Lepisosteus oculatus: one gene and its partners. The protein of the gene in region 3 interacts with the protein of the main gene of each other region in a pairwise test. Links are inferred from orthologs where the notes say so. Each region holds a gene or a part of one and is shown on either strand. Other genes may lie near its edges.

What was found.
Region 1: the proteins of tax1bp1b (region 3) and gabarapl2 interact in binary tests that used the Homo sapiens proteins (3 or more experiments, as listed by UniProt). The link is inferred for Lepisosteus oculatus from reciprocal best matches to the Homo sapiens genes TAX1BP1 and GABARAPL2.
Region 2: the proteins of tax1bp1b (region 3) and CXXC-type zinc finger protein 1 interact in binary tests that used the Homo sapiens proteins (3 or more experiments, as listed by UniProt). The two-hybrid records come from large-scale screens. The link is inferred for Lepisosteus oculatus from reciprocal best matches to the Homo sapiens genes TAX1BP1 and CXXC1.
Region 4: the proteins of tax1bp1b (region 3) and lgals8a interact in binary tests that used the Homo sapiens proteins (3 or more experiments, as listed by UniProt). The link is inferred for Lepisosteus oculatus from reciprocal best matches to the Homo sapiens genes TAX1BP1 and LGALS8.

What each region holds. Positions count from the first base shown.
Region 1 is NC_090715.1:12,460,820-12,468,509, forward strand, and holds the start of gabarapl2 (gamma-aminobutyric acid receptor-associated protein-like 2), read right to left. Parts: upstream 3,068-7,690; 5' UTR 2,897-3,067; coding exon 2,863-2,896; intron 1-2,862. Other genes in the region: carbohydrate sulfotransferase 5, read left to right, coding at 4,324-4,462, 5,028-5,194, 5,655-5,783, 6,312-6,455, 7,332-7,413. UniProt on the Homo sapiens protein: Ubiquitin-like modifier involved in intra-Golgi traffic. Modulates intra-Golgi transport through coupling between NSF activity and SNAREs activation. It first stimulates the ATPase activity of NSF which in turn stimulates the association with GOSR1.
Region 2 is NC_090697.1:75,676,938-75,684,944, reverse strand, and holds the start of CXXC-type zinc finger protein 1, read right to left. Parts: upstream 3,086-8,007; 5' UTR 2,877-3,085; coding exon 2,874-2,876; intron 2,186-2,873; coding exon 2,055-2,185; intron 717-2,054; coding exon 616-716; intron 80-615; coding exon 1-79. UniProt on the Homo sapiens protein: Transcriptional activator that exhibits a unique DNA binding specificity for CpG unmethylated motifs with a preference for CpGG.
Region 3 is NC_090705.1:398,440-406,454, forward strand, and holds the start of tax1bp1b (tax1-binding protein 1 homolog B), read right to left. Parts: upstream 3,117-8,015; 5' UTR 3,028-3,116; intron 1-3,027. Other genes in the region: hibadhb (3-hydroxyisobutyrate dehydrogenase b), read left to right, coding at 5,123-5,192, 7,535-7,695.
Region 4 is NC_090697.1:11,728,313-11,735,636, forward strand, and holds the start of lgals8a (galectin-8), read right to left. Parts: upstream 3,047-7,324; 5' UTR 2,862-3,046; coding exon 2,823-2,861; intron 1,173-2,822; coding exon 1,084-1,172; intron 1-1,083. Other genes in the region: rrm2 (ribonucleoside-diphosphate reductase subunit M2), read right to left, coding at 4,872-5,024, 5,341-5,454, 5,540-5,644, 5,974-6,107, 6,218-6,312, 6,617-6,750, 6,891-7,007.

The DNA of each region.
Region 1 (7,690 bases), on a different chromosome or scaffold from region 3:
AATCCTGGTTCTATTTCACTAAAGTTACATTAGATTTCCATAGTATCCTCTTTCTCTTAGACCCCCTACTTAAAACCGATTTCTTCCCCTTATGCAGTTTGTATCTGCTGTTCCACTGTGATCAATGCAATTGTATTGTTAGGTTTAAGTCACCTTGGATAAAGCTGGCAGCCAATTTAGCAATAATAATGTTTAAGCTTCCTTTCAGAGACTCCCTCTAATGGAGCCAAAATGCAGCAGAATGATTAATTTGTAAAAAAACAAAAACGTGGACTAATATGACATGAGGGGTTTAAGGGAAACCTGAAGACATCCTCTCAGAACTTTTAATCAAACTGGAATGTAGATAAAACGGTTGCTAATTTCTAACTTGTTCCTACCGTACAGTAGCAAATGGATATCTGATTAAACTGATAAAAGCCTGTGCATTGCAAGCAGTTAAAACCCACTTGCATACCTGCGTGTTTGTGTGATGAATACCCACCTCAGACAGCATTGAGCTGTTCATTGATCTAAGCAGCACTGCATTGATTTTTACCCTAATAACCCTTTTACACTTGTACACTAGTACTGTGAGTGCAAATTGCCAATTGTAATTAACTGAACGTGCAGCCCTGTAATGCCAACAAAATACAAGTCCACATAACTCTCTGGTGTGATACATATGCCCAGACAGAAATGGTTGAATGTGCAAATAAAAATACTTAGCAAGCTAAAAATGAAGACACATTGCACAACTGTGAATATTTTTACTTGCACTAAATTACTGCTCTTCTAGAGATAATCATCACAGTCACATGAATGAGGTGCTGTGTCGGAAAGATACAATACATGACTGATATTTCATTTTATCACGATGTAAATTTATTTTGGTGAAAGTTAGGCATCTTCTGTTAAATGCCCTTCATGAATTCAGGGCTGGGAATAATTCAAATTGACCTATTTATGAACTCTATATAAAGGGGATATTTTCCCAAATCATATTCATGCAGTGGATTCTTCACACCATTTAAGATATGTTCTGCAATTAGATACAGATTTCATTTGAAGTGCTTCAATTGTCACTATACAACCAGGCCAGCGGACCACTTATGACCACCTATAAATCAACCAGAACTCAAGTGTTTCTTGTAGGTCAGTATAAATACAATGGCAACTATTAATTGCAATTGAATTGAAAATGTAACCCACTAGTTGCAACTAGTACTTCAAGTCATAGGGATCTGATAAAAAAAAATAGCTTCTTCATTTTGTGAACTTAGAAGACATTAATAGATCATACAGGAAGGAATTGACTGCATTAAATATTCTAGAACAAAGAGTGATCTAAAATGTGGACATCAGATTAATCTCTGAGCTGCCCGAAAGAAAACTAATCCAAGCAGATTATGCTTTTGCTGATCTGAAACAAGAACTTTTTGTTCTGCTGCAATGAGAATGTCTCGAATGAACCACAGTGGATAAACACACAAAGACTAGCCTCTCTCCTGACCCGCACACAAAAAAATATAGACTACTGTCAATGTTAATGTTTTCCCTTTTACACATATCAGATCGTGTCACTTAGCAATGTTTATCCCCACAAGAAAACACTCTTACTTTTAATAGAATTTTGCAAAGGTATTAATGCCTTTGCAATTATTAAACTCGTTTTAAACCTTCTTAACACGGGGAATCTATCATTTTGCTCAAACCTTCACAGTGTCGGTGCTGAAATAATAGCCAAACCTACTAAAACTGCCACTCTTCATGGATCACAGCACAGAGCCGTTTGCCTTTCTTGCTGCGTTTAACAATTCCATGATTAACCAGTAACGCAATGTGCTGTCGGGGGTCTGGGACAAGGTACCCGATGTTCGGCTTCTTTAAAGAAGGGGCTGGGTGAGATCACGTGATCAATTTGCTACTGGTTTCCAAACCAGCTAGATCAGGCAAATGGCCTCTCTCGTTTCAAACCTCTTATGCAGACATCACTGTGGACTACACTGTGAGGGCGATACAGCCCTTTGAAAAGGTTCGACAAATATATATATATACACAACTATTATTCTTAGTTATAAATATTACAATTTGACGTCACTGAAGGCCTCAAAAACCAGTTTAGCCCTAAGGTCGTTTAGAGATTTCGGCCCAGGTTCGTGTGTTGAAAGGGACCGCAGTCTTTGCCCTAGTTAATGACAGGGCTTTGTAAAAAAAACAACGCCTGCAGTCATATCTATCTGACCACAGTCAATACTGTTAATAACTGAAGTGTCATTTCTAAAACACTTCTGTTTGTTACTCTAGAAAGTACTACCCTGCAGAGTTCATGGTATGCGTCTGGTTAGACCGAGAAATTAATACCTGGGTCTTGTACCGTATTGATGAGATGTGAAACGTCCTGGCTGCTTTCGGGTTTTAGATTTGAATTTAAGGAAGACTGACGGGACAGAAAATATCTCAACATCAACCACAGTTTCGAGCTTCTGGTTGTTTCTCGTCTGAAAGGCTGGAATGGGCGAAATGTGCCGGTTGTCACGTCCTTAGCAAAGCGACACAAACGAGTGCTGTCCCGTGGTCGTCAAAATACAGTCTTTGCAGAAGAAAACAACACCCAGATATTACGGTCAGCTCCTCCCCACCCCAGAGAAAATCCCCAAATACCCGAATGTGTTCTGATATGAAGAAAATGTGCTGTCAGACACGTATGACGTAATCCGAAAAACAATTAAAACCCGTAAAAGGGGAAAAAAAAACATTCTGCGCAGGTCACCCTTTTTCCAGGCCCTGACACGGCAAAGCCATCCTCACAGTGGCCTGAGAAAGCGAAAGCAAACATCACCATAACACAGCATTTCCCCCGTCTACTACAAAACCTCTTACCTAGGGAATGGTCTTCTTTAAACATCCATTTCATTTTGGCAACTTCCAAATGGCGCTTATTTTGCTTAGAAAAAGAAAAAGAGAACAACGGTTTCGTTTATGGGTTTTTTTTTCGGTTTCTTTACAAACAAAAGGGGGTAAACTATTACAGCAACAATGTAACAAAACAAGGTTAGCCTTCGGAGTCCAGCCCTGCGATGACGTCACCGCCGGATGGATCCATTTGGCAACCCGGAGGGGTAACGGTTTTAAATGATGGGGATACACTTAGTTTATCATTATTGATAAACTCACCAGAATAATATTTTACCCAAATTGATATAATCTGTGGAACACAACCAAATTGTTTTATTCATCAGAGATTGCATATATTGCCTGTAGTGACGAAATAGTACAATCCATAAAGATGCTACTACCGTGTAGTATCGCTTCTGTATATAAACGTTGATGCTTCTGGTGGGACTGGGGGGGTTCATATGGGATGGGATGTAGATAGTTGGGGGGCTTTCCTAATGATTGTTTTAATATCGGTAAGGGAAATGTCGTTAAAGGCACAAAATATGAATAGACTGGCAAGAATTAGCTCAGAAAAGATAGCTCCCATAGGTCGGCTTCTGGGTTCCCTGAAAGCTGAGCTAATGTACACAACCACAGCCCCCGAGATCGCCTCTACAAATATCCCTAAAAATAGATTACAGGCTGGTAGGAGCACGGCATAAAACTCGATAGGGCTGTGACTAATATCGCGTGATACTCAAAGGTCCCGTATTTCTTGTATTTAGGGGAGCACCGCTCTGGGGAATTGCAAGCGTTTCTGTAACCGTTAACATGCCAATCCCCTGATTCATTTACACCAACAGGAATTCGGGTGTCAAATTCTGTTGTTCTTTCAAAATAAAGCGAAGAAAGTCGGAACAACTGTGGCGTTAACGTAATATTAAGATAATATTTTGGATGGGCTACGGAGGTCTGGTATTTAAATTACTCCAGCTGGGTTTGCCCGTGAGGATAAATACAGTAGAATATTTCTAGCCTCTCTTGCTGCATCCGGGTAGTGGGGGGAAAAAAACGCCGCCGGTTGCTAGGGAACAGGGGGGCTATGGAAACCCGCAGACGCCAAACTTCAGGAAGTGCGTGAAAAGAGTGCGGCCTTCGGTTTCAGCTTCACGATTTTGGAAGGGATCTGTATTGTTGCGTTTTTTAGAAATAGTCAGAACGCTAATACTTTGGGGGCGGGGTTGCTTACTAGTTTTTGAGCTTTTGCGAATTTCGATATTTAAGAAAAATCAAGGAGCCTTCTTGAATCGAGAAACTATTTATGTTCCGAGTGCAACAACCCCGCTCATCTCATCGCTGTGATTTAAAGGCGAACGAACGGAAAGTCTGTGGAATAAAGTTTAGCTAGTTTCAAAGGCGACCCCTTTTTTATTTTGCTTTTTTACGAACACGTTTCGATCTTCCATGGCCATTTATGAAGTTTACTCCCACCCTGCTTTACTGAGGTACAAGACCAGTATCTGCACCAAAGCCACGCTTTTCCTAATAATCGTCCTGTGTCTCACCTACATCTCTCCTTTGCTGGTGGCTTACAGAAGCCAAGGTAAGCACAGCGTTATGCTGAGGTTTTGACTGTTGTTTTGATGAATGGTTACTGTCTGTCCAGCCTGCCTCTTCCAGTAGTGTTGTTTTCAAAGACAGCCGCGATGTAGGTTCGACTATGTCTATTGTGGCCCTGTCAGTACTACACGGACGTTCAATTCAATTCATTTTAATATAGCGCCTTTCACAACAAGGTTGTCCCAAGGCACTTGATCTTGTGACATGATCTTGTGCTTTTTTAGAAACTAACATTATTATGTAGCGAATACCGTTTTACCGTGCGACTATTGTATTGTTCAATACCTTAGTTACACAGATGCCAAGAACTCAATGCCACGGTACAACAAGTAGACTGATATGCAAAGCGAGGTTTGCACGCAGTTCTTTTTATAACTATCTTTCGTCCTTGAGAGTTTATCATGACTGTAAGAAAAAAACGATTTTGTCTCTTCAACTTTAGTGTATGATCTGGTACCCGGTTCCACTTTGGTGGCATTTATAGAACGTCCTTATCTCTAGGAGATCTTCTGATCGGAAAGAGACTTTATTTCTCATTTTATTTACAGGTTTCTGGACAAAGTCCAGCACGTATGAGGAGCAACCCAGCATCACGTTCCAGTACCAGGTGCTGTTAATTGCTGCAACCAGCACCAGTGGAGACTATGTAGCCTGGAGCACATTTCAAAATTTCAACAATCTGCAGGGTGGCAACCTCAGAATCCCTTCAATATCAGTGAGTATCCTCCCCTCTGATCCTTCATAGCCTTGGTGAAAGTTAAAAACATAGTTATTCAGGTTATTTCCTAATGCCTGCGTGTGATCGAGAGTGTCAGATATTTACATTCTTAGAAAAGTAAGAGTGTTAGAGTGATCTCGTTGAACAGTTGTGAATGGATGGAGTTCCACTACTGAGGGAAATTACTGATCAATAAGCCATTCGCTCAACATGTGTTGAATGAGGTTATGGATTTGGCCTCTTCAAAGCGGACAGAAGGAGGACAGTCCTGTCCCAGGAAACAGCGAAGTTGCAATTACAGTGTTTGTACATTATAATCTAAAAAAAAAATCAAGCTTTTCTTTGCTGAAATTTACCAGGTATTTTTGGTTGGGGGAGTTTTTGTCAAATCTCGCAAGGGGTGGACCGGGGTGCAGCCTAGCTCGGCAGGGAGGTAACTTGTCCCCGGTGTCGTCAGGCCAGAGAGGAAGACCGGAATCAGGATGGGAAGTTTGACCAGCTGAACCTTCGTCTGGCGCTCCCACTGCGGCAGAGCGAGCCGGTGTACAGCGTTCAGCTCATTCTCACCTTCTCCTACAAGCTCTTCGTAAGTCACCCACACCTGGTGCTTTCACTCTTTCAACAGCTATTTAGGTCTCGTCTTGTCTTTTCTAAACTGGGGGCAGAAGAGGGAAGCCTGTAAGAATCGATCCAAGGACATCAGCACCTGGAGACTTCCTGCATAAGAAGAACGGTCTCCAGCCTTATTAAACATTATAGGAAAAGGCTTTGTGCTGTTACCCGTGCCAGAGTACGTTGCATCAAGAACTAGCAACTGGGGATCGAATCATTTTAACACCTATGTTTTTGAGGAAAAAAATAGTATTACTCATTTAAAAACATTTGTTTTGAAATAAATGTATTAGAAAAAAAAGCTTGTAGTTTTCCCGTTTTGGGGGTTTTATAAAATACAGGTCATTATCTGTGCTGTTTATTTTATATGGCTATCTATGTTAGTCTTTTTTTCAAGGGTGCCAATAATTGTTGAGCCCACTGTACAGCCACTGTGTATGTCAGTTTAGCAGCCTGCTTGAAATGAACCACTAGAGTAAAAGATTGCCTGCTTGTGTTTTAGAGGATGTCCACCTTCATCATGCAGAGCATGGCCTACATCCAGCACTCCTCGTCTGTTCCAGGGTCTCAACTTTTTGTCAGTGGGGACCTCAAACTGCAGCAAAGGCAGCCACTGAAGCACAGAGGTCTTGACACCACCTATAATGTAAGAATTAGCTCATGTGTGCTGTTTTTTACGTAATCTGGGAAATGTCTGCATTCCAGATGGCTAATACTTGTTCTATGTTATTCTATAAAAGTAAAACCATTCTAAAACATTATATGTTTGACAGGGTGCATTCCCACAGGCAAACGCCTTGGGTCCTGGTTACACTGATGATGGCAGGTACATCAGCATGGACACAGAGTTGGTCCAGCATGAAATCAGGGTTGGTTCAATAGAAGAACTATTTTGTTTGACAGATTTTTCCCCATACTGCTTTTGACAGTATTTTGACAGTATGGGGCTGCGCTGTGATCTCCAATGAAGACCTCTTTTTTTCTTCTGTCATTTTTTCTATGATTCCTCTTTAACAAAAAAATCATATTTCTTTATACATAAAAGCAATGTTACACACGAGCAGAGACTGTTCTGCTTGTCATGAACATCTAGTTGCTAGAAATGTATTGACCTGAGACTCCCATCTGGTTGCTTTTTGAAGGATCCGAGGGAGCTGACTTCCACAGCACGGTCTGAGCAGCTTGTTTCAGACACCTCCCGCACTCTGCATAAAGACATGCCCGCTGTTTTCAGTCTTGAATCACTTTTTTGTAATTGGTGCCATGAAATAGAGCCATGACACTTCACATTAAAAAGAAAAAAGAATTGGGACGCTCTAAATCAAGTGGGTTACTTTGTCTCTAAAGAAGCATGGCCTACATCCAGTGCTCTCTGGAGGAAAGGACTGGAAAAAAGCCTTTCCTGGTCTGGGGTGGAGCAGTAAGTTGTTTTGCTGTGTGTAATGCTCACCTGCTCCTCCTGTGATAGTATTTATTTTCCTTGCATGACACTATAAAAATACAGCTTCCTATTCTTTTGCAGGTTTCTGTTATCAATGGAAACAGCCCCTTTGCAAGTGCCTATGATCTGACTAACATCATTGGCTCATATCAGGAAAGAAATGGTAAGTGGAAGTGTGGAAGATATATTACTTTTAATACTGGGCAGTTCTATGGGTAGAAACCAAAAAATTAAATAACATAAATGTGTCAGAAGACTTCATGATTTCTGTAAAAAAACTCAAAACAGTAAAATATAAAAATACAAGCTGCTTAAAATAAATACAGGTTTATGTTGCTGTGTAACAGCTATTAAGCATTTTAAAACTGTTATTGTTTATTATCTTTTATATGTGTTTTTTGTTTTCATCTCCTGAATACTAGTTTCACAGTTTTACATTA
Region 2 (8,007 bases), on a different chromosome or scaffold from region 3:
TTCTCCAACCGGTCCAGCTCTGCCTCCTTCTCCCGGCTCTTCTTGAGCCGGTACTTGATCTCCAGGGAGGAGTCCTTCTCTGAGGAGGGGAGACAGGGTCACACTGACTGACCGACACCCCTCCTTTCAGGCAGTCAGGCAGAAGAGAGCTGACCAGTGACAGCAGCGTGATCCAGTCCAGGTTTCACCAGGACCTACAGCAACAGCTGCACTTCCAGCCCGTGACCTCAGAAAGAACGAGCTCGTACGCCATGACGTTAACGTACGTCTACCTTTCGGCACCGGCTGTGCGGTTCGCACACTGAGATCGGCCTGCAGCTCACAGCAAAACCCGGAATGGACCAACCTGCTGTGCAATACGAGACAGGTCTGTTTCCCCACAGTGTCTTCTGAACAATCAGTAACACACAACCAAAACGTTTTAAAAAAATCATCCAGCCTGGAGCCCCGGATTTCTAAATTACTTTCTGTAGCCTGGATAAAACAGCCGTGTCCCTTCCCATGACTTCACAACACAGGGAACCTGAACTACACACAAGGGTCTCCGACACGCCTGAGCCTCGAGGCTGCTCCCCGAGGGAGAGTCCCCCAGAGAGAGGAGAGGCAGGTCCTCACCCCGGCACTTCCCGCAGTACCACTCCCGGATCGCCTTGGCCATCTTCTCCGTCACGTTGATGCAGTTGCCATGGAACCACTCGTTACAGCGGTCGCAGCCGCTGCAGATGAGGAGATCACGCATGGCACACACAGATGGACACGCATGCACACACAGGGCCATCACACGCACACAGATGGACACGTGTGCAAGCACAGAGCCATCACACGCACACAGACGGACACGTGTGCACACACAGGGCCATCACAAGTACACAGATGGACACGCGTGCACACACACGCATGGCACACACAGATGGATACACGTGCATGCACAGGGCCATCACACGCACACAGACGGACACACGTGCACACACAGAGCCATCACACACACACAGACGGACACGCAGACACGCAATCCAGATGCACAGGAGAAAGAAAAGAGAAGAAAACACCAGTGCAACAGTCAGAAACAAAAATGTGAGCTCAAACCCTTACACCAGAGGTGACGAACCCTGGTCACCCAGGCCAGCAGACTCTATAGGTCACCGCTAAGTCACCCATTTCTCAAGATTAGTCAAAATTTCACAGTAATGAATAGAGCAGGACATTTTGAGATAATATAGGACCAAATCACGTTTCTCTCAGTCTCCACGGACCACAGTATTGTTAACTGATTAATTATTACATTAATGTTACCAAAGTCTAAAGACCTAAAAGACTACTTGACTGGGGCTCTCCAGGACCAGGCTTGGAGACCCCTGCCTGACACAGTGCACAGTACCAAGCTGTGTCGTACAGGAAACCTCTGTACAGACCTGCACTCTAACACTGTGCACATGGCCAATATTCTGTTATAAACTGTTCCATAGCTGTTCAAAACTTTTGACAATACCCTTGTAACACACCTCGCCAACAAAGCCCATTTTGAATTCTCAATCTCAGCAAGCACAACTAACAACAACAACAACAACAACACAAATTGACTCGCAAGTTTATGTTTCTTCTAGACTTCCTAAGATATTGAAAAATAAAAAGGGAGGCTTTGTCTAGGCTGTGCAGCGTGAGTGGCAGAGGGGTGCGTCGAGGCTGTGCAGCGTGAGGGGCGGAGGGGTGCGTCGAGGCTGTGCAGCGTGAGTGGCGGAGGGGTGCGTCGAGGCTGTGCAGCGTGAGTGGCGGAGGGGTGCGTCGAGGCTGTGCAGCGTGAGGGGCGGAGGGCTGTGTCAGGGCTGTGCAGCGTGAGGGGCGGAGGGGTGTGTCCAGTCTGTGCAGCGTGAGGGGCAGAGGGGTGTGTCCAGTCTGTGCAGCGTGAGGGGCAGAGGGCTGTGTCAAGGCTGTGCAGCGTGAGGGGCGGAGGGGTGCGTCGAGGCTGTGTGGGTGACAAGAGTGTCGGGCGGTGACGCCCAGAGGCCACGAGCTGGGGCGCAGGCAGGAAGCTGCGGGCGGCGGCGGGCTCTCACATCATGAAACAGTTGATGTCGGGCTTGCGGCAGATGCAGTAAACCGGCGCGTTCTCTCCGTTCTCCCCATTGTCGCCCTCCATGCTGCTCTCGGCCCCGGGGGCCTGGTCCAGATCCGACACCTCGCTGTCCTGCAGGGAGAGAGGAGGACAGGTGACCGCGCTGGACTCCCCTGGCCGCTCACCGCCGTGAGACCGAGGGAGAGGGCTGCCAGTGCTCTTGCAAACGGTCAGCCATGAGCAAACCAGAGCCCCCTAAAGCAGAAAGCCTACCAGCGCTCTTTGCTCGCGGTTCTGTGACGGGTGAACAATTACAGGGCTACAGCATCACACCACCTGTCTGACTGCACACGAAACAAGCGCTAACATTACTTTGTTTCTAATGTCTGTCAGTTATTTAAATGTGAACAGTTCGGTCGCTCAGCTAAATATCGCTTCCAACTGCTATGCTACCGTTCCAACTGGCCTATCACAGCAGCCAACAGTAACCGAACACAATATCTGATCCGAAAGCACGACCTTTTTTCTAAATGTGAAACAAAACAGAGACCAAATGCAAATCTATGAGCGATGCGTTCACGGGCACTAACGTATAATACAGATTTTCAAGAGGAAAGGACTCCCCGGTTGCGGTCATGCTGTGATCTACTTTCAAGACGGGTTGAAACTTTCCAATTTAACATTTAACGAAGAAAGGCGACCTGGTCGTTTTACGTAAAAAAAAAAGATTAGCTTTAAGAGCGGAAAAAGAAACGTGTTTTTCACAGCTGTAACTACAGAGAAACGAATCGTTTCAAACTATGAAGCTCAACCACCTCACCATCGCAGGAAACACGCACGGCCGCCTCTTCCTTCTTCGGATAAAGAGTAAGAATGATGAAGTAAGGCTATTAGCAGGTAAAGAATAACCAATAAAAAAATAATAATCGTCGCAAAAATCCCCCCCTTTCACTCAAAATAAACACAAAACGGGCTGTCCCGACAGCCTCCTGACTTCCGCTTCCGGTTCAAACCACCCGTCTCCCCACACAGACGTATTGCCAGACTGCTCGTTTGGAGAACCGTTGGTGTCTCTTATATCAACAGAATATACTCCTAAGGGGAGAAAAAAATGTGTTTTTTTTTACAGACTGTGGTTTATGATTTCTATTATGACGAATGAACATGTTTCTATGTTTCTATATGAAGAATGGGCAGCGGTAAACACCGCCCTCTAGTGGCCGGAGGGTGTATGATACCAGAGCCTGCGGGAGCGCTAGGCTGCGCCACCTGGTCGCCTCCGCTCGGCCGAGCTGTCGGACTGGACACTGGCCTGGGACAGCCGGCAGGCGGCCATGACCACATAACATAAACGCTAATTGCGTGCAGAGTAGACTAAAGCACATTAATGAGCAGAAGGACAGGAAGGTGAATAATTATCATAAGCATTCTTCCTTTTTATTAGGATCCCAGTATGCAACGCAAATCTAAAAATCTGCTTCTCAGCTCTAGATTTATTTTCTTGCTTGTTTGTGTGCTTATACAAAGACGCCTTTTCATATTGGAGTTCCATCTGAAAGTATTTAACAGTTTGTACTATTCTTGTGTATGGTATGACCATTCTACTGTTCTGTTACCGTGACAGGACTGTTCTCCTGTACTGGGACTGTAGCCCCTACTGTAACAGGACTGTTCTACTGTACTGGGACTGTAGCTCCTATTGTAACAGGACTGTTCTACTGCACTGGGACTGTAGCCCCTACTGTAACAGGACTGTTCTACTGTACTGGGACTGTAGCCCCTATTGTAACAGAACTGTTCTACTGTACTGGGACTGTAGCCCCTATTGTAACAGGACTGTTCTACTGTACTGGGACTGTAGCCCCTATTGTAACTGGACTGTTCTACTGTACTGGGACTGTAGCCCCTATTGTAACAGGACTGTTCTACTGTACTGGGACTGTAGCCCCTAGTGTAACAGGACTGTTCTACTGTACTGGGACTGTAGCTCCTATTGTAACAGGACTGTTCTACTGCACTGGGACTGTAGCCCCTATTGTAACAGACTGTTCTACTGTACTGGGACTGTAGCCCCTATTGTAACAGACTGTTCTACTGTACTGGGACTGTAGATCCTACTGTAACAGGACTGTTCCACTGTACTGGGACTGTAGCCCCTATTGTAACAGGACTGTTCTACTGTACTGGGACTGTAGCTCCTATTGTAACAGGACTGTTCTACTGTACTGGGACTGTAGCTCCTATTGTAACTGGACTGTTCTACTGTACTGGGACTGTAGCTCCTATTGTAACAGACTGTTCTACTGTACTGGGACTGTAGCCCCTATTGTAACTGGACTGTTCTACTGTACTGGGACTGTAGCTCCTATTGTAACTGGACTGTTCTACTGTACTGGGACTGTAGCCCCTATTGTAACAGGACTGTTCTACTGTACTGGGACTGTAGCTCCTATTGTAACTGGACTGTTCTACTGTACTGGGACTGTAGCCCCTATTGTAACAGGACTGTTCAACATATTACTGTAAATTGTAAATGTATAGTATTTATTTATAATACTAATATTTATTTATAATAAATATTGTTACATTACGCGATGTGTAGGTTACTGAACATTTAGTACAAGCGGTAAATACAACACCTTTACGTCAGTTCAAGAATTGTGACCCACATAAAGTTCCAAATTGAGTCCGCAGTGAAGATACAGTCTTGTATATAATTCCTACGAACTGGGTTATTCCACTGTTAGTTTTTTTACTGTAACCCTGTAGCCACCAAGATGAATAAATAGAATTCGAAGATTCAAAACAGAAAGCTGTCTTTTCCGAAATGATGGACTACAGTCCTTGCTGTGTGTCGTGCAGAAATCAGCAGTGCTTTAAAGCGGATCGTGAGAAATCAGCCGCAGTTTAAATTTGAATCTGAAATCTGAGCGCCGAGCGAGAGAGGGAGAGGAGTCGGAGAATGTGTCTGTGTGTGTGTGTGCGAGAGAGTGTGTGTGTGTGTGAGCGATAGTGTGTGTGGAAGTGTGTGTGTGAGAGAGGGACGGGCTCTGTAAAAAGTTCTGGTTGCCGCCTGGAGTGGACACAACAGTTAACCTGTTCGGACGGTTTTCATCTGGCGCCTAACCGCGCGGACACCGGACGTGGCACTGACCGCTCAGATTCCTTAATCTTCGTTTTTCAAGAAACACAATTCGTCCTGTTTTCTCCTCCGCTGTTAGACGCTTCCACGGTCTAAGACTGGCTCTAATTACGCTAAGGTAAGATCGTGATGTTTTACGGATTTAACGCGCGACAGATTAAACACATTACAGAGATTTTAGCTGTCATATTTGTCAGCCTTGACTGTGGTAAATTGTGCATCATAACTTGATACTAAATAATTGTATTTTATATAGCCCCTTTTGAGATACACAATCTTTGGGCGTTTTGTCATAGGATCATCAGCAAAAGAGTCATAAACAAATAGACCTTAAATCTATAGTATTGAAGACATACATTCTTATACAATCTCTATATATGTTGTTTGTTTTCTTAAAATGTCGTTTAGCTTAACGTTTTGAGTTTTTAAAGTGAACGTAGTATGCCTGGAACTGACACTTCAAGAAAATCTAAAAATAAAATAAAAAACATTATTTCCTCCGGGCGTACTTACTGTACATGTTCGCCCTAAGCGTCGGCTGTAACTGAAAATGCTGCAACACGTTAAAATGCCAGCTTCCCTGTGTGTAGAGGAATATGGTTTCTTATTAAAATCTTCCATAGAGCCTTAACCACCGGAGGAACAGCCCGGGGACCCGATACTACCCTGGCACACGAGTAAATAGAAAATGATTTCCACAAACGCTTGTTCTGTTGGGTCAAAACTCGTGGGGTTGAGTCAGTCGCGTTCCTGGGGGACAAATTGGGATTCTCGGTTTGTGCTTTTCAGCGGGGAGTCGCCGATTCCCACTTAAATCGGTTAATTTTCTCAGGAGAAAAAAAAAACTAGTTCTTACTTAACTGTCTAGAATGAGTCATCAATTCCCCGGCGGGGTTCCCGCTGCCCGGAGACAGGGGGGTCAGCGCCGGTCCGTTCGGGACCCGGAATGTGGGTCTCCGCGGGTTGTGCTCGGGTGTCGCTCTCAGGGACATTTTTCTCGACACGGACCTCGAACCCGGTGTTACCCGCGCCTTTCGGAGGGACGCGGCTGGACTACACCGGGTGCCAACAGCCTCCCTGCGCCCCCCTCGCTCGGTTAGTGCCCTCTTCAGTGAACAGCAGCGGCCTGTAGTCTCCAACGTCGCAGCTTGTGACCCGGGCAGTGCGCTCGGCCTTGCCGGGGGGGGGGGGGTGTTTGGAGAAAATCCTGTCATGTTTCGTCATTTCGTGTAGAAATGGCACGTCTCTCCATTCCTGGTTCCGAGCGCACGGTGACCTTAGAGTCGGAGGGGCCATGAAGGATATCAGTGGTATGTTATTCAAATCTGACCTTTAATTAATGACAAAATATTACCTTCGATGAATGTCAAATCGTTACCACTGATTCGTTTTTTGTTACCTCAGCGGTCCTGAAATGAGGAGGACCTCAGGGAGCTGGTCCTGGGTGCGCAGAAGGCCGAGACTCACCGGTGTTTAACGGTACTACATTAGCAGCGGTGTGACCCGCCGGTCTCTGTAGGCGACGAGGAATCTGCTGGTCTCGGTGGTGGAGTTTTTGCTCTCCCTGTGAATCAGGACCGGTGTAAAACGAGTCGAGGTCTAGACGTGTTGTTTCTCTTTCCACCGGCCTCACCGGAACAGGCCTCTGTCGCGACCCGTCAACGGCACCGCCGAGAAGCCCTGCTGCTGTACGGGTCCGTTCGGGACGGGACCCGGACCGGACCGCGTCACAGTTGTTGTTGTTGTTGTTGTTGTTGTTGTTTAACTACAGCTGTTATTCCCAGTTCTGTCTATAAGTCTATAAGCCACACAACACTGTCCCATGTAGAGGCGTACACCGCGTCTTTGTCAGGTGTACCGGTTCTTTCACAGCGGGGATATTTTCTGATGCGGGAACAGATCCGATTTTCCGGGGTGTCTGGCTGGCAGAATACGGGGGCACGGGAGTGACCAGCGGTGCATGACCGTTTTTCAGGGGGATACCCCCACTGACCTGCTTTTCGACACTTCAGGCCCGAGACAGTGGCTTGCTCGTCCGGAGGCGTGCGGAAATGGAATTCGCCGCACAGTCAGGGTAACTCGCAGGGGCCAGATGGACAGTATCTGTGATTTGTATTAACGGACGAGCCCGGGGCAGAAGGATACAGCGCTGCTGGGGAGAAGTTTATACCCTGAGCGAAGCCCAGTCTGCAGCCCCACGAGCAGTTCGCACGCTGACACACTGCTACAGTTTGTGGTGAACGAGTGTTTTAGTCAAGGTTAAGACCGCGTTTCCAACCATGTGACTTTATTTTTTTGCACGGGGTTTTTGGTGATTTTTATTCCCGAACAAATCAGCAAAGCGTAATTATTAACATCGATTCGTTACCTCAGCAAAAGAAAAACAAAACAAGAACAAGGTCCAGCGTTTGATTAACAGCTGGGGTCGACCGGTGTCTTGCATCCCCCGGACAGAGTTCGGAATTGCTGTCTTGTTCTGCTCCGAGTACTGTAAAAAAAATGACCGATCAACCGCAAACACGCAGAAGAGCACTTGAAAGCGAGGCCAGGAAGGACGTCTTTACACACAGGGTTGTGGGAGTTGGGAACAAACTCCCCAGCCGTGTCGTTAAAGCCGAGGCCCCGGTGGTTTTCAAAACACCTGGAAGAGATCCTTAGATCAATTAGGAAACTGGGCTCCTCTGATTTGTACCTTTTCCTGTGTTCTGAACACGCCGTGCGGAGTCGACATTTTAGTTCGCCAGCCGAGCTACGACTGTCTCGTCTCACATGTGATTAATCTAGTTCATCCAGTAAAAGACGTGGGGTTTTG
Region 3 (8,015 bases):
CTTCATTACTTGAAGTTCGAGTTCCAGTCCAGCTTAAGTTATACTAGTTTCCCATCTAGTAAAAAGTTCTGTTCCAACTCCAGGATGAGTCTTAAAACCTGTCGGCTGCTGTGTCGAACCCACGAGGAAGGGCTCCTGTGTTCGGCTCTCATCCTTCAGATCCTGTTAACGCACACAGGAGGGGTGTGGACACACAGCACAGTCCAGCAAATGGGAAGCAGTGGAAATTACTTCACCATCTTTGCTACTAGTTACTAGTATTCTTTCACCTGTTACCATTGTACTCAAGGCTCTGAATATTCACAACCTCCATTTAATTCTTACCAAAAAAAATAAGGATATTTTATATTTTTTCAGATACCTCAGATACTAATGGTATGAGAAACAGATGGCAAGTACAATACAGCCGTGCAGATCTCTGCTAATTAGCTGTACAGTTCAGTGACATAAAGGAACTGTTCCATGTCAAAAGGAAAGACTGGATATGCAGGAAGAGCCTTTTTATTCTCAGACTTTCTTTCTTTAGATGAGAGTTAAAAGACCTCCTTACATAGTAAGCTAAATCAGTTTCATGATCACACCTAATTCAGTCAGAATCAATTTGATGGAATCAAGTCCTGTCACCGCTGTTAAATGTCCATGTGAATGGTCTTTCATGAGAGATTTCATGAGCAAAGAACTTTTTTTTAATCTTGCTTTTTAAAAGGGCTGACTAGATTTTCAAAGGAAGACATCTGTGTGACCTCGATCCTGAAGGTTATGTGTGTTCTGATCTAGTGCAATTTGATGACAGTTTATCTTTGTCATCAAAGCAGAGTCCTGCGTGCAGTTATGTTGTCTAGTTACAAAGCAGCTCAGAACAGAAATCTGACTCTCTCCTGATGTTCTTCATTGGTTAGTACTTATCTCTAGAGGCCAGTCGCATGAGTTTCATTTTTGTAAACTAGGTGTACTTTACCCATGTAGAACTACAGAACTCATTTCCCAAAGAATCTACTTTGTCATCTCCAAGCAATTAACAGTTTAGCATTCCATGAAAAACATCCCCATCTAACACAAAGCTTTCATGATCTATTTTGTAAAAAGAGCTCACAGATATTAGATATCAGAGCAGAATCCTTCACTGTCTAATTGTACCCTAAAATTAATAACAGAATTGATATACAAACTCATAAAAGGTAAGCCTTGCATTGTACCAAATGAGAATCATGTCATTTAAGAAATTTACTCATTCTGCAACCTGCAGTCACATTCATCCAGCAAGGTCTCACTTCCTCAATTAGGATAAAGCACAGAGCTGTCCTCAATGTTTAATCACGTGACAACTCATCACACTATCATATCACACAACTGCAGAACCTATCGTACACCAGTATCATTCCATGGACTGTACTTCGCAAAACAGAGTGATTATAAAATGAATTCAAAGAACCCATAAAGAGAAGTGGTGGTTTTGAAGACTCCCCTATCTGCTACACTGCAACTCAGATTTCCAACACAGACCATGACACAACAGTTTGTGGTGTGCTTGGAGATGAGATCGTTCAGAGTCGACAGGCTCCTAGCTGGGACTGGCAACAACTCGGTTGTCATTGGCCACGTTGGCACAAGTAGGGCCCGATTAAACAGCACAATTTCCATCCAGGATCAATTTAAAACAACTCAGCCAGAAACCGTAAAGGACTAGATCAGCTGTTTTCCCAGGAATCCTACCAGCACCGGGCAAAGGTGAACAATCACAAATATGAATCCGTCTGACAAGTCATTAAGTGCCGAGACGTCAGTGCTGGGAACATCAGAAACCAATTACAAAAAATAAAAATGCCTACATAAAACATCTTTGCCTACGTAAAGACTTTTAGTAACTACTAAAATAACCGTTTGGTTTTTTTATGTGCATGAAAGGCTTTAACGCTTAAGGTGCGATTCAAAACGAAAGATCAGTTGAAAAGCATCATCGTTCACAACGTCCACTATTAAACCACGTTCATTTTACAGTACAATGGCACGCAGACAGAAACGAGAGATTGGGGGGGTGAGGTGGGTTTCAAAGGTTTTGTGTAACCTTCGCCGACAGAGCTGCCGAAATTCCCCAGTCGTGCAGATCATGACAGTTCATCACCAACAGAATTTCCCAGACGCTCATGAGCAACACCAGCCTGACTCGCTCAGACTCGACGGACCCGCCCCCCGGACCCCCCTATTGGTCCGGGGCCACTGTTGACATTCCCGTTAGGTAAACACCACTGAAGGCTCTGGCCTGCGATTGGCCAGTGCAGCCGCCAACACAGCGTCGTCACGACCCGCAGACGCTCACGAGTTAATAATAATTATTATTATTAACTCGTTATTCGAGTTGTTGGGGTTTCGTACTTTTCGTTACTACCGAACATCAACAACAGCAGGGTCCCACAGCGACCGAGGCTGTTAAAGCAACGCACCCTGAAGAGATATTAAACATCTCACTAATCTAGGAGTCCAGTCTCCTCCTGAAAAAAGCTTGTTAACTGACACGCCAGCATGCTCGGATCGCTTATCGATGGATGTAAACAAAACAAAATTAAACTCAAAGGTCAAAACAAATATCGAAACCAAACGGTCCAAGGACAGACAACAACCGACTTTAGTTTCTTTTTCAATACAAGTGGTGGGCAGAAATAAAAAGTTTATTTCATGTTCCTAAGGGCCTTACGGCCGAATCCATAGTCCATAGTCCGATAGTTGAAACATTAATACTGACTTTCAACATTAAAATCCCTTCGCAACCCAAGCAGAACTACAATCAAAGTTTGAGCTCCAAAACGTTTGTCTTCAATTTCTTCCCCTTCTGCTTGTTATTTAAACACGGCTAAGCCTGTGGTTCGTCACTGCTGGACTGGGAATGATAACGTAACCCAAATCCCACACAATTTTTACATTGCCACGTAAAAGGACTAACACTAATAATCGTTACAGAACACAACTACATTAACGAATAACCACACAACAACCGTTCGCCATGTGAAATCGAAGTAAAACCCCAGTTACCTTGGTAAACCGTCACTGACGCAGCTCTACGGTCGCCGCTGCCCTTCTTCCTGGAAGAGGGGCGATGCGTCACTTCCGGGATCGGTGCCCTTGCCCACTGCGCAGGCGTAAAGTTATTGACTGTGCATCTGTGCCTTTATTTCAAAAGCACATAAGAGAGGTGACAAATGAGAGGAGGTCATTCACCCTCCAACCCCCTTATTTGCAAAAACTTGTTTGATCCAAAGACTTCGCCTGGCACCGTCTTCAGCAACACGGGTGGGTAGCACGTTCCACACTCCCACCACTCTAAAAACTTTAAATTTAAAGAAATTTAAAGCTAAGGATTTATTCTGTCCTGCTGTGAGAAACAGATCCTGGGTTTCTCTCATCATCCTGAATCCCAGATAATGAATCCTTCAATTTACCTCTATATTTCCTCAAATCTTCCAAAATATCCACGTAAAAACATAGGTTTTGACAATCCTACCCAGACTACGGAGAAAGAATATCTCTGCAGTACAGCAAATGTCTAATCACAATCTTAAAAAAAACTCAATAGAAACTGTATTTTAAAATCCTATAAAAACAATTTCATGCCATCATCACATCACTCAATAACTGTGGTGGCATGGAGACTTACAGAAACATTTTAATAAAGCTGTTTTACAAAAACTGTTTTCATTGCACATAGACAAAACCATTCATTTGCTCTTTATTAGTTAACAACAAAAGACACTGTCCACATGTCCTGTGCTAAATCTGGACTCATACTTAAGTATAAAGCACTACTGGTCTAATGTCACCTTGACCTTCAGAGGATGATGAATAAGGAATAAAGGCAGCGTCAGGCATCATACCCACACTTCATTATGATGGCCATGAGTGACAGGTGAGTGAAGAAGAGTACCTGGTCTAACCAATTTAGCTTTGGAGCAATGTGCAATAAACTGAATTAGACCAGTTCTGCAACATACTGGAAATTGTATCTGGGATGGTATGGACTGAGATGAGATGTACTGAGATCTCATTTATCTGAGATGATATTATAATAATAATACACTTATATAGTGCTTCTTCTGGACACTCCACTCAAAGCACTTTACAGGTAATGGGGACTCCCCTTCCCACGACAGCAACAGCAGCCATAGTGCACCAGAACACTCACCCACATCAGCTTTCAGTGGGGAGGAGAGCAGAGTAATGAAGCCAGTTCATAGATGGGGATTATTAGGGCCAATGGGTAAGGGGTAAGGGCCAATGGGAAATTTGGCCAGGACGCCAGGGTTACACCCCTACTCTTTTTGAGAAACGCCCTGGGATTTTTAATGACCACAGAGAGTCAGGACCTCAATTTTACATCTCATCAGAAGGACGGCACCTGTTTACAGTATAGTGTCCCCATCACTATATTGGGGCATTAGGACCCACATGGACCACAGGGTGAGCACTCCCAGCTGGCCCCACTAACACCTCTTCCAACAGCAACCTTAGTTTTTCCCAGGAGGTCTCCCATCCAGGTACTGACCAGGTTCACACCTGCTTAGTTTCAGTGGGTTGCTAGTTGTGAGCTGCAGGGTGATATGGCTGCTGGCTATTGTACTTGTATCCTGCAAGTCCCTGATAATAATATCCTGTTGCTGGGTTTCTTCAATGCCATGCAACCCCAATAATACAAGAACTCCGTATTCTGCCTGCAAAAAAAAAAACAGATATAAAAAAAATTGGTGTAAATCGCTGTACCAGCCAGAGACAGGACACAACAACTTTACAGTCCAAGTAAGACCTCTCTGAAAGGTAACCTCGTAAATTAATTTAATATTGGTGGAATTTTGGTATTATTTATTAAACCGCTTCTCTTTGAATCCATCTAATTGTCTTTTCTAAATTGGCTTCGAACCTGAATGTGTAAACTCTACAGACATGCAACTCCCGCAAAGACGCACGGCTCCAAAGATAAGCTATAGGATATCCCGCCCCTCCCGGGTTCTGGTTGGCTATAGTGGGCAACCCTGCCTCTGATTGGGCTGAAGGCGGTGTCACTCTCATCCACCCCCGTGGTCACTTCCTGACTCGAGCGTTGACACCGCGACGCTGAGGTCAAGGGGAAGGAAACATGGCCGCTTTGGTTAGAGGGTCTCGGAACTTGTTGCGAAGCTTTGGTCAGCATGTGGGCCTGGCACTGGGTAACGTATTGTTTACGTTTGCATATATTCAATTTTCGTCCTTCTCCGAGGCTATTGTGGGTCGGGGGAGGGGTGGGATCTGTAGCTTATGCATTGCAGCACCTTTAAGCTTAATGATATAGATAGTAACATCTGTTTCTGTCCGGTATCGCTTGGCAATCGCTGATGCGGATGTCAGTAGTAGTATCGATAAGCGGGATCGATGCTGGCATGCTATTCAGAGCCAAATACTCTCGCAAGGGAAGCATACAGCAAAAATACTTTTGCCTTGGTCCTTTAGTCCTTAACTAAAGGTCCTTGGTCCTTTAGTGAAGATGCTTTCGCAGGCTTGAGGTAAATTTAAATTAAAACATTTTAAGTGTATTTTGTTATAGTTTTGGAAAGCACCTGTTAAAAGCAGGTATGGGTTTATCTCTGAATGTTACAGGATGTTTTTTTCCCCCACTACCAGTTTGCTCTGTCTTGGAAGATATGGGATTTTCTGTACATTTTAGAATCCTGTTTTTACAAAACTCCCTGTCACTAGGAAAATGTTTTACTCTAAAGACAAGCTTACAACTTCACAAGCCAAAGTTAACACCTAAAGAAAAAGTTGGAATCAAAGTGTTTGATTCATTGTTTAAAATATCCTGTTTTAGTGTTATATTTGCTGTAATTGCACATGTAACTAAGATAAATATTATTCTCAGCTCTGTAATTTGTATCACTAGGATGATTCTGTTTTTAAAGAGTTAATTACTGTGCAAACAAACATGTTAGTGCTGTATATAAATCACTTCCTACAGTACATTTTAAGATTAGAGATCTTATTTGAAAAAGTATTTGCATCAAGAATAGTTTTAGATTGAGATCAATTTAGACTGCTTTATGATGTGGAAGGAATAAAGCATGTATACATGCACAGTATGTTAGGGAAAAGCATGAATACTTTGCCATGGTGCTCAGCAAAAGGACATTCCTTTACATACCAAGCCTATGATGATGTCATGGCTATGTGCCATCTGCATTTCTGCTGGGGTTTCTAGAAAAAAGGCAGCAAGTGATGTTGGGACCTGTTATAAGTACAAGGAGTGTCAGCAGCTGGCTTGCGTATCAGATGTTCAAGGTTAGGTCAATATGCACAACAGGCTGCAAATACAAGACAGCCCTTCTTGCCAGTTCAGAGAGTCTAGAATTTGTTCACTTGCTTCTTGAAGGAGAGCAGGGTTTCTGAATCACCTGAGCAGAAAGTCTGTTCTGTCCTCCCCTCCCCCGTCCGTGTGAAGAAACATTTCCTTTTCTAATTCCATCAACACCATTCATGTTTAAAAAGGAGTGAGTCCCAATAATATGCTTTTATGAAGAATACATTCAAGTCTTTATGCAAGCTCCTGTGTGCTTCAAATGGTTTAAAAATAGCATGAGGGCCAGGGGTATTTCTCCCTGAGTAAGCAGTTGATGGTGACATTAGAAATGCTCTTTTGACTTGGAGACAGCCCTCACAAGTTAAGAATGGCCGAGTATGAGCCTTAGACTGAGACAGAAAGGTGAAAGATGTTTATTTCAGACAGGTCCTAAAGAGTCTTGGGGGGTATCAGCTCTACATTCTCTGCAGGCCTATAGTTTAAGTGTAATTTGAAGTCAAAATGCATGTCATTTTATGTCTTTATTTCAGTGCTTTTTAATAATGCTATAAGGTACTGTGGAATTAATTATGTTGGTATCAAATAAGTTGTTCGTTGTGCACTAGTCTTCCACTCAGAACTGTAAAGAAGAGCCAGTGGGATTTTGTGCGATTATATTATTCATCGACATAATATTAAAATGCAACTCCAGACAGATTTTAGTTATACAAGTTTTGAGTTAGACAAATTGAAGCTTTTCAAGTCTTTGTACATAAGCTGGTTTGTAGACCATTATTTTCTGTTAAGTACAGTGTAACGTCCCAGCTGACGCAGAGTGCTGGAACTCTCCCAGGCAGGGTAACTGGACTGCCTCTCCACATGACTACACTATATTTATAATGACATTTGGCTCAGACTTCTCTGTAATTTCATACTCTTACAGTATGTCAATCCTGAATACTATGAGCAGAACACTATATTGCATTAAGCAGTGGATTATATTATATATATAGTTATGAGGTAAGAACATGAGAGAAGTCACAAACTGGGGGAAAGGCTGTTCAGCTGAACATCATCCAGCGTTTCTGGAAAGAAACCAAGATATCAACTCCAGACTCCACCAGCTCCTAGTTTCATTTTGAGAGGATCCTTCCCTGAAGGGCCAAGCCAGTGTCAGAGCTCTGATCTACCTTCCATCCCTCAGAAGAATCACCTTCTGCTTTTGTCTGTCTGTTTTAGTGTCATCGAGGGCCCTGGCCTCTAAAACCCCAGTTGGTTTCATTGGGCTGGGGAATATGGGGGATCCCATGGCAAAAAACCTTCTGAAACACGGCTATCCGGTCATCGCTTCGGACATTTTCCCAGAGTCCTGCAAAGAAATACAGGACATGGGGGCACAGGTGAGACAAGCGGTTTTGTTGAATGCATCACAAAATTGCGTGATGATAATTAAAAATCTGAAGCCTGTAAACTATGCCTCACTGTATAGAACAAATATTTTCAATTATCTTTTAGACATATCCATAGACTGACCCATTCAGGTCTCTCTCTCTCTCGTTCTCTTGACTGATATTAATATTTTTGTTACGCAATTCATGTTTTCTCTTTTTAAATGTAAATAATATGTATATTTTTCTATACGTGAGACAAAAAGCGCTTAAAGGTGAGAAGCACTTAGTGATTGTATTTATTTTTTTAAAAGAAACAAGTTGTATTTATT
Region 4 (7,324 bases), on a different chromosome or scaffold from region 3:
CACAGACGATCAAAGGAACACAGGAACAACACCATCACCCTCCTGTCGCTCGAAGCTTGTGTCATGTGAGAGGACCTTGTTACGATGACTCTTGGAGACCAGGCTCTGGATAAGCTATCTGAACTTTGTTTTAGAGATCTTGCTGTCCGGTTATTTTGGGAAATTCTGATTTCCTGCATTGTGGAATCCTCGGACTAAAAACGTTCTCTCCCGGTTGGGCGATGCATTTCTAGAACAGGAAATGATTCCGATTCATTGAAATGACTGTGGAAATGATTCCCACTTCTGCATATCCATGGTCATAAAAGGGAAGATTTATTTCTGAGAAGTTCCAGGCAATGCTGGGTTCTCCTCTTTTTGGTCCGTTTAGGCATTGATTCCAGATTACAGGGCTAGAATTCCCTGTTTCCAGGTCTACAAGACGTTAGCCTTTGAAACACGTGGTCTTTTAAATACATGAGATCGATGAACTGGTGTATGTTGTGTAACGTTGCATATCGTACAGATGGTGTTTTGTTTTGTTAAGAAATATTTGTCCTGTCAAGTTTGACTCCGATTTTGTTACTCCATCACCAGACCTGTGACGGATGATAGAGAACAGCTCATGTGCCACTAGTATGCACACGCCTGGTTTTGCCACTCGAGTGTCATTCGCTGAACTGCGCTCTCTGTTGAGTGACAGAGACCAATGAATCACTGAGAGTTCACTGCCAGAATCCGTAAGAAAACTAAATTTGCCTTTTTATTCAGGCCAGTCCTACAAAGATGTTAAGAATTAGTGAATTTTAATACTTACTTTGAAGTCTGCTGCAAAAGCAGTCCACATAAGTGACCTTTGTCTCTGTCCCAAGCTAATTCTGTTTTCAGTTTAGAAAGAGCAAACATTCAGCTAATAAAACATCTCTATTAATTTTGAGTTCAGATTCTTATCTGGTGATAAAAGGTTGTATTTGCCAGCAGCTTCTCATGATTGATACTAACAAGGGGTTTCAGAAGTCTCCATGGCAACAATCATGGATTGCGAGCAGTGTGGACTTTCTGTAAGCAAACTAGTTGCTAAATTTCCTCAAAAGAAATGCTTACCTGTCAGCATCACTGAGAACTGCTCCTTGGATAAGTACCATATCACCAGGATGAAGTCCCCCCAGTATTGTCCCAGCATAGGGAATTGCCTATAATGACACAGAATGCGCAATCTTACGCTCATACCACAATACTTCATCCAATGGTTACAATTTTAAACATTCGTGTTACCAATAATTAAATCATGTCAGCACATATTTTCAAAGGGTTCTTGTCTGTTGTGGGCTCTTTCTGTGAGTGCTGTGAAACTCGGTTTTTACTTGGCACTGATGACACCTGACTTCTGTTTCAAGAATTTCACATTAAAAATTAAAATTCCACCCTGTTGAATCAACTGTTCTATACACATCTGGTCATCAAAGCTCTGCAACGTCAAATACAATTGTATCAGACTCCGAGATATGTATTTTCACTGAATTCATTTCTTTGTTGTCCTCATGTTTTTCTTTTTAAAGACAATGAAATTGAGTATATAACGTTATTTTGAAGCTCGCCTTTGCCTTGGGATCATTTGGAATTTGAAACTAGTTTCTTTTCTAGGACTCAGGTGACTGTCACCGACAGCATGGACTTGCTCCGGTCTGAACTGTTAAACGCAAAAGGCGTTGCTACATTACCAATCAGAACACCCTCTTGTGTATCCATTATCTCAGAAAGCTAATTTCATACAGCCCCGAATTTGAAAGACAATTCCCATGAATAAATTCTATTTCGACCTTAAAATCGAGCCAAATAAGATATGTCTGGTGAAATATCTTAGCTATTCTTTTATAATTCACCTTTCTGAAACTCCCATCGCGTGATTACTTTTCAAAAGAGTAATTTAATTCATATCTGATTAATTCATTAATATTTGGATAATTAATGTATAATAAGTTATGTCTGATGTGCTTTATACTGTTTGAATTGTTTTATTATTCGGTTATACAGTGTGTTATCAGTAAAGCCTTTTAAAGTAACATTTTGTAATGAAAATAAATATGCGTTAAACCCCATAATTGCTGTAGTGTCTGTAATACATTAAACTGTTACAAAACCACTGACATGAGTGGCAGGTACAACGAAAAATGGCCATTTTAATCCGAATGTTAAAAGAGGCAATAATGCAGTTTCTCTATACAGACTGAGCGCAGATGAGCTGGTCGCGGTTTCTCAAATCAATGCAGTAGAAGTTAACTCAGAAACGAAACTGCAAACCACGACTTAGCCAATGCAATTAAAGCAAACTGGAAATAAACCAGCCGACGACTTAAAGAGGCGTTACGGTAAATCTAGAGAAGCGACACTACTAAATCTACTGCATTTTCACCTCATTTAATGACCTGGCTCCCAATACGGTGTGGGGTGCACACAGAATTTACTTCTTTCCAGCAAACATTAATACATGAAGCAAGACAGATTTCACTTTCCACTTCTTTTTCTGCTGAGGAGTGAAGTGGGTAGGGGAGAACACGGTCTGACTCTTATCTCTCGGTCCATAATCGTCTCTTTCAGCTCATCTCCACAGCAATGCCGCACAACATGGTCTGCTCGAGTGACGCAGGCCGGCGCGCCCGACGCGACACGATCTCGCCAAGCATCTCTCTTAATTTTATTTTAAAATATATAACATTGTGCAGCACACCCGGCGGTCCCAAAACGAAAGAACAGAGCGACATTTGCGCGTCACCGACCACAGGGCAGCTGTGAGGCACTGGGTGCTGTGCAGTACACCCGCAGTGCGGTGCAAGAGATCTTACCGGATTTAAAACCGTTTGCCTGGGACTCGTAACAGACATGACTCCTGTCCTGAGTGAATACGTGCCCTGGTCCAGCGATTTATATCACGAAATTGCACGCAATTTTAATTCCGCCTTATTTTCACTTCCTCTTTCGCAGACCTGGAGGGCGGAGTGAATTTTATCAGCCAATCGTGGCTGAAGGTCCTCCCTGGCAGGTTGTTGATGCTGGGAAGATGTCACCATGTGATCGTGCTGTTCGAAAATGAGCTTTAGATCCATGTGGCTTTGCACTTGAATAATCAGATTGTGGGTAAAACACATCCGTCTGGAAAGGAAACGTGAGGTGTTTTTCTTTTTCTCAAAATGCTTTCAAACAATAGGAATGCTATTGGTTTGCTCAAATCCAAACATGTCTACAGAAATGTTCAAACGAATGTCGGTACTTGAAAATTAGGTGATTAATCCGGCAAACTGATTTTAAATCGATGAAATTGACTATTAAATCTTCCCTGGATCCCTAATTTCTGGTTATATTGTTCGTATTTTAAATATCAAAAGGCCAGTCCCAGCCCTGTCTTTGCTAGACTCATCTTTCCTTCATAACTGCTTCACGTCCCAGCCCATCAGGTCAGGAACCATCCCGACAGTTACTGTTCAGGAAGTAACACCCACAAAGTTGTTTTACTGTAGAGGTTCAAGCTTGGTTGAATGTGCTTCCTCATACCATACATCGTGGGCTAGAACTGTGGCCTTTTCAAGATCTCATTCCGACTTTCCGCTTAACATTCCTAAGTTTTAATCACATCTGTGAAAAAAAAAAAAAACACCCCTGAAATGCTAAACCACGAGCCCGGCCGAATTTAATTGATTATTCTTAATTGGGTGGAGAAAACCTTCGTGTGTGGGCCAACCATGAGCCTTACCCTGGGTTTGCTCATCTCCTTGGCAGTGCAACAGCATTCTTTCTCCCTCTATTCAGCTGACTTATATCCCACCCTCAGACAGCTCCCTGCTTACTCAAGGGGTTCCAGCACCCAAGTACTTTAAGTCCCCAAATCAGGGACTACAGCTAAACCCAGAATTACATTAAACAACTTTCATGATTTGTACTACCATAACCAATTACACTTCTAGTATCACAGCAGTGGAACACAATCACTGCTCTGCAACTGGATATTCCTTCATGGATTAGATTTGCAAAAACCACACTCCACGGACCCAGAGGCTAAAATATACTTGCTTTTAAACTCTCAAGTTCTTAGCGCAAAAGCTCTTGGGTTGAGGCGAAGGACAGATTAAGATTTAGTCATCATACAACTTGTAAAGTCTGAAGCAGTGCAGGATGTTACACCTGTTTTGCCACGTTTGAGAGCACAAAGTGGTAAGCATAGATCCGAGACCACAGTGGATCAGAAGGCTGCAGTAAACCGCCTAAATAAAAAAGCAGCATTGAGTGTTCTTACTGGGAACCTCCTGTAGGCAAGAGACCAGGCAAGACGGTACAAGTGGAGAAAACGGAGACTGTTTAGAAGGAGGGAGTGCTGGGAGCCTTGAGTGGCAGGACTATTACTACAGACTTGGAAGGGTGCTCTGCCATCAGCTCCACTGGAAGAAGTGGAGCCGATACTCCCATCTGCAAGACGTTTTACAAAACATCACTGCATTGTACTAACTGGTGTGTACTAGCCCTCCCAATACCCATGTCCTGTTAAACTGAAAGGTTCTTACTATAACCACAGTGTAGTAAAGTCAGGTACAGAACCTCCTCTGTATCCTTGAGGAAGGAGCATAGGCTTGACACAGATCCTTAAACCCAGAAGGAATTTCTAAACAGCCTTTATTATAAAGCCAATATAAAACTATAACCATTTACATAAAACATTAAAAACTGTACAATTGAATCCCTTTGACACGTTTCCAGGGAGGTTGTGCAAAACGGTCTGCTTTAGTGGCCTATTTCACGGCAACACACAAGCGATACGGGAACAGAGGCGTCTCTGGGCATCGGTCCCGTCTCTGTGGATGCGCTAATGCATACAGTCCCATCACCCATCGCGCTCGTCCGCATCAAAAGTCGGCATCCAGCCTGAACGTGTTGTCCGTCGGCGCAGACATGACGCCCATCCTCTGGTACTCCCCTACGCGCTTCTCGAAGAAGTTGGTCTTTCCTTCCAGGGAGATGTTTTCCATGAAGTCAAAAGGATTCTCAGACCTGTAGATCTGTGGAGACAGTTGCACTTCACTGAAGAGCAGCATAAGGCTATAAACTCGAGCTTTAAAGTTTAGTAAGCTAAACTGAGCACTGCAGTAAACACTGGCAAACAAATAGTAAATTTTTACCCAGATTTGTAAAATGGGTTAAAACAGACTTTTACATCATGACACAAATTGCCATTTACAAAATAAGTGCCAAAACCTGTTAAGGGCAGCTTTCAGACAGCTCCTCATAGTCAAGGAGTGCTGTCAGCAGCCATACCACCCTGCAACTCGCAACGGAAAATGACCAGTAAAGCACTAGACAAGTGGAAGGAATTACCTTGCTGAAACCCAGCTCCAGCATCAGCCTGTCCGCCACAAACTCAATGTACCGCTTCATCAAAGTGCAGTTCATGCCGATCAAGTCCACCGGCAAAGCTCGAGTGAGGAACTCCTATACAATAAAAAAAAAAAAACACATGGGATCAGCCAACAGAACAAAATAACATCCCAGCCCGGGTTAACGGAAGGGAACACACCTGTTCTATCTGGACGGCATTTTCAATGATTTCACGGACTCTCTCTTCGGAGGGTTTGTGTACCAAGTGCTTGAACATGAGGCAGGCAAAGTCACAATGAAGGCCCTAGGAGAGAAAAAAAAACCAAGACTGCATGATTCATTTGCTAGCATTGGATGGAGTACAATTTGTGTGCTATTGTACAGCAGGTGTCTGGAATCCTAAAAAGAAACTTGCAGGTTGAATTAGGCAGAGCACCACTGTTGAGAAAGGCATCTAACCGACAGCTCACAGGTCGGAATAACTATGCATAATCCAGAAGCAAAGGAGCAAAGCCGAAGGAACAGAGAGACCTATATAAGCATGCTAATGTCACTATAGACTAGGAATACGCATATAGATTATGGTTGTGGATTTGGGGGGGAATAAACAGGCTCTCGGAAGAAAAAACTCACCTCATCTCTGCTAATTAACTCGTTTGAGAAGGTGAGGCCTGGCATCAGGCCTCTCTTCTTCAGCCAGAATATGGAAGCAAATGACCCAGAGAAAAAGATACCTTCTACTGCAGCAAAGGCCACAACACGCTCCCCTGTACAGGGAAAAAAAAAAAAACAATGAGATTGGACAGGTGTGAAAAGTGACAGTTTAAGGCAGATCATTGTGCTAGAACAGGCACGTCTCCCAATAAACCTTGCATACCATATACAGCATCTTTGTTTCCAATCCAGTTCAGAGCCCAATCAGCCTTCTTTTTCACACAGGGCAGAGTCTCAATGGCGTTGAAAAGGAACTCCCTGCAAAAAGAACAAAACCTTCAATACAAGACCAGTTGGCAAAAGCACATTTTGACCTACATCTTCTAGGTCAACATGGGGAGCAACTGAAAGCAAGAAGTGCTTGGAGTGTCACTGATAACAGTGCACAACTTTGGTCATTAAGTGGAGTATAAAACAAGCTACCCTGGGATCAATTAACTACTAACTGGGGCTTGTGTGGCCTGTTTAATGGGTCAGCATCAGCAGGAACTGCAGCCCAATAACTCTGGCTTGGGTGTACAACTGCAGGTTGTACCAGAGGAGAGGCAAGAGCTGTACTGACCTCTCTTTGGGGTCTTTAATATACGTGTCGATGAGCAGGCTGTACATTTCAGAGTGGATGTTCTCCATGGCGATTTGGAAGCCATAGAAACAACGGGCTTCAGTCACTTGAACCTCCTGGCTAAAGCATTCCACCTGGAGGGGGGAGAAAGAGTTGAATGAAACAGGAGGATCTGGTCTGGGGTCTGCACGCACTTACAGACATTTCCTGCCGATATGAAAAATGCCAACTGTGAAACAAAACATCTAGAGCAGGGTGCGGTTGTGGATCCTACCAGATTCTCGTTAACGATGCCGTCGCTAGCGGCGAAGAAAGCCAGGACGTGGGAGATGAAGTACCGCTCTTCGTCCTTCAGGGACTCCCAGTGCTTGAGGTCTTTGGAGAGGTCCACCTGGCAAAAGTACAGGCGATTAGACACCTCTCGACGGCCTTCGAACGACACAGCTGCAGAAGACTGATCACATTCCTACACCACTTGCCAGGAAAGGGGTCCGTATACTCGTGGTGAACTAAGCAGTTCCACATGGGACTAAGTTGGTGGATACCATCAGAGACGGAGAACTGCACCACTGCTGCCTGCAACTGTAGGTCACACCCTCTTTGCGGAATGCAAGTTTCCCCCCCACTCAAGCACAAGTTTAAGAATTGTTTATTAAGCTCAAAGCTAAGCAAAATTGTTTAAACAGGTGGTCTCAGATAAACGGATTA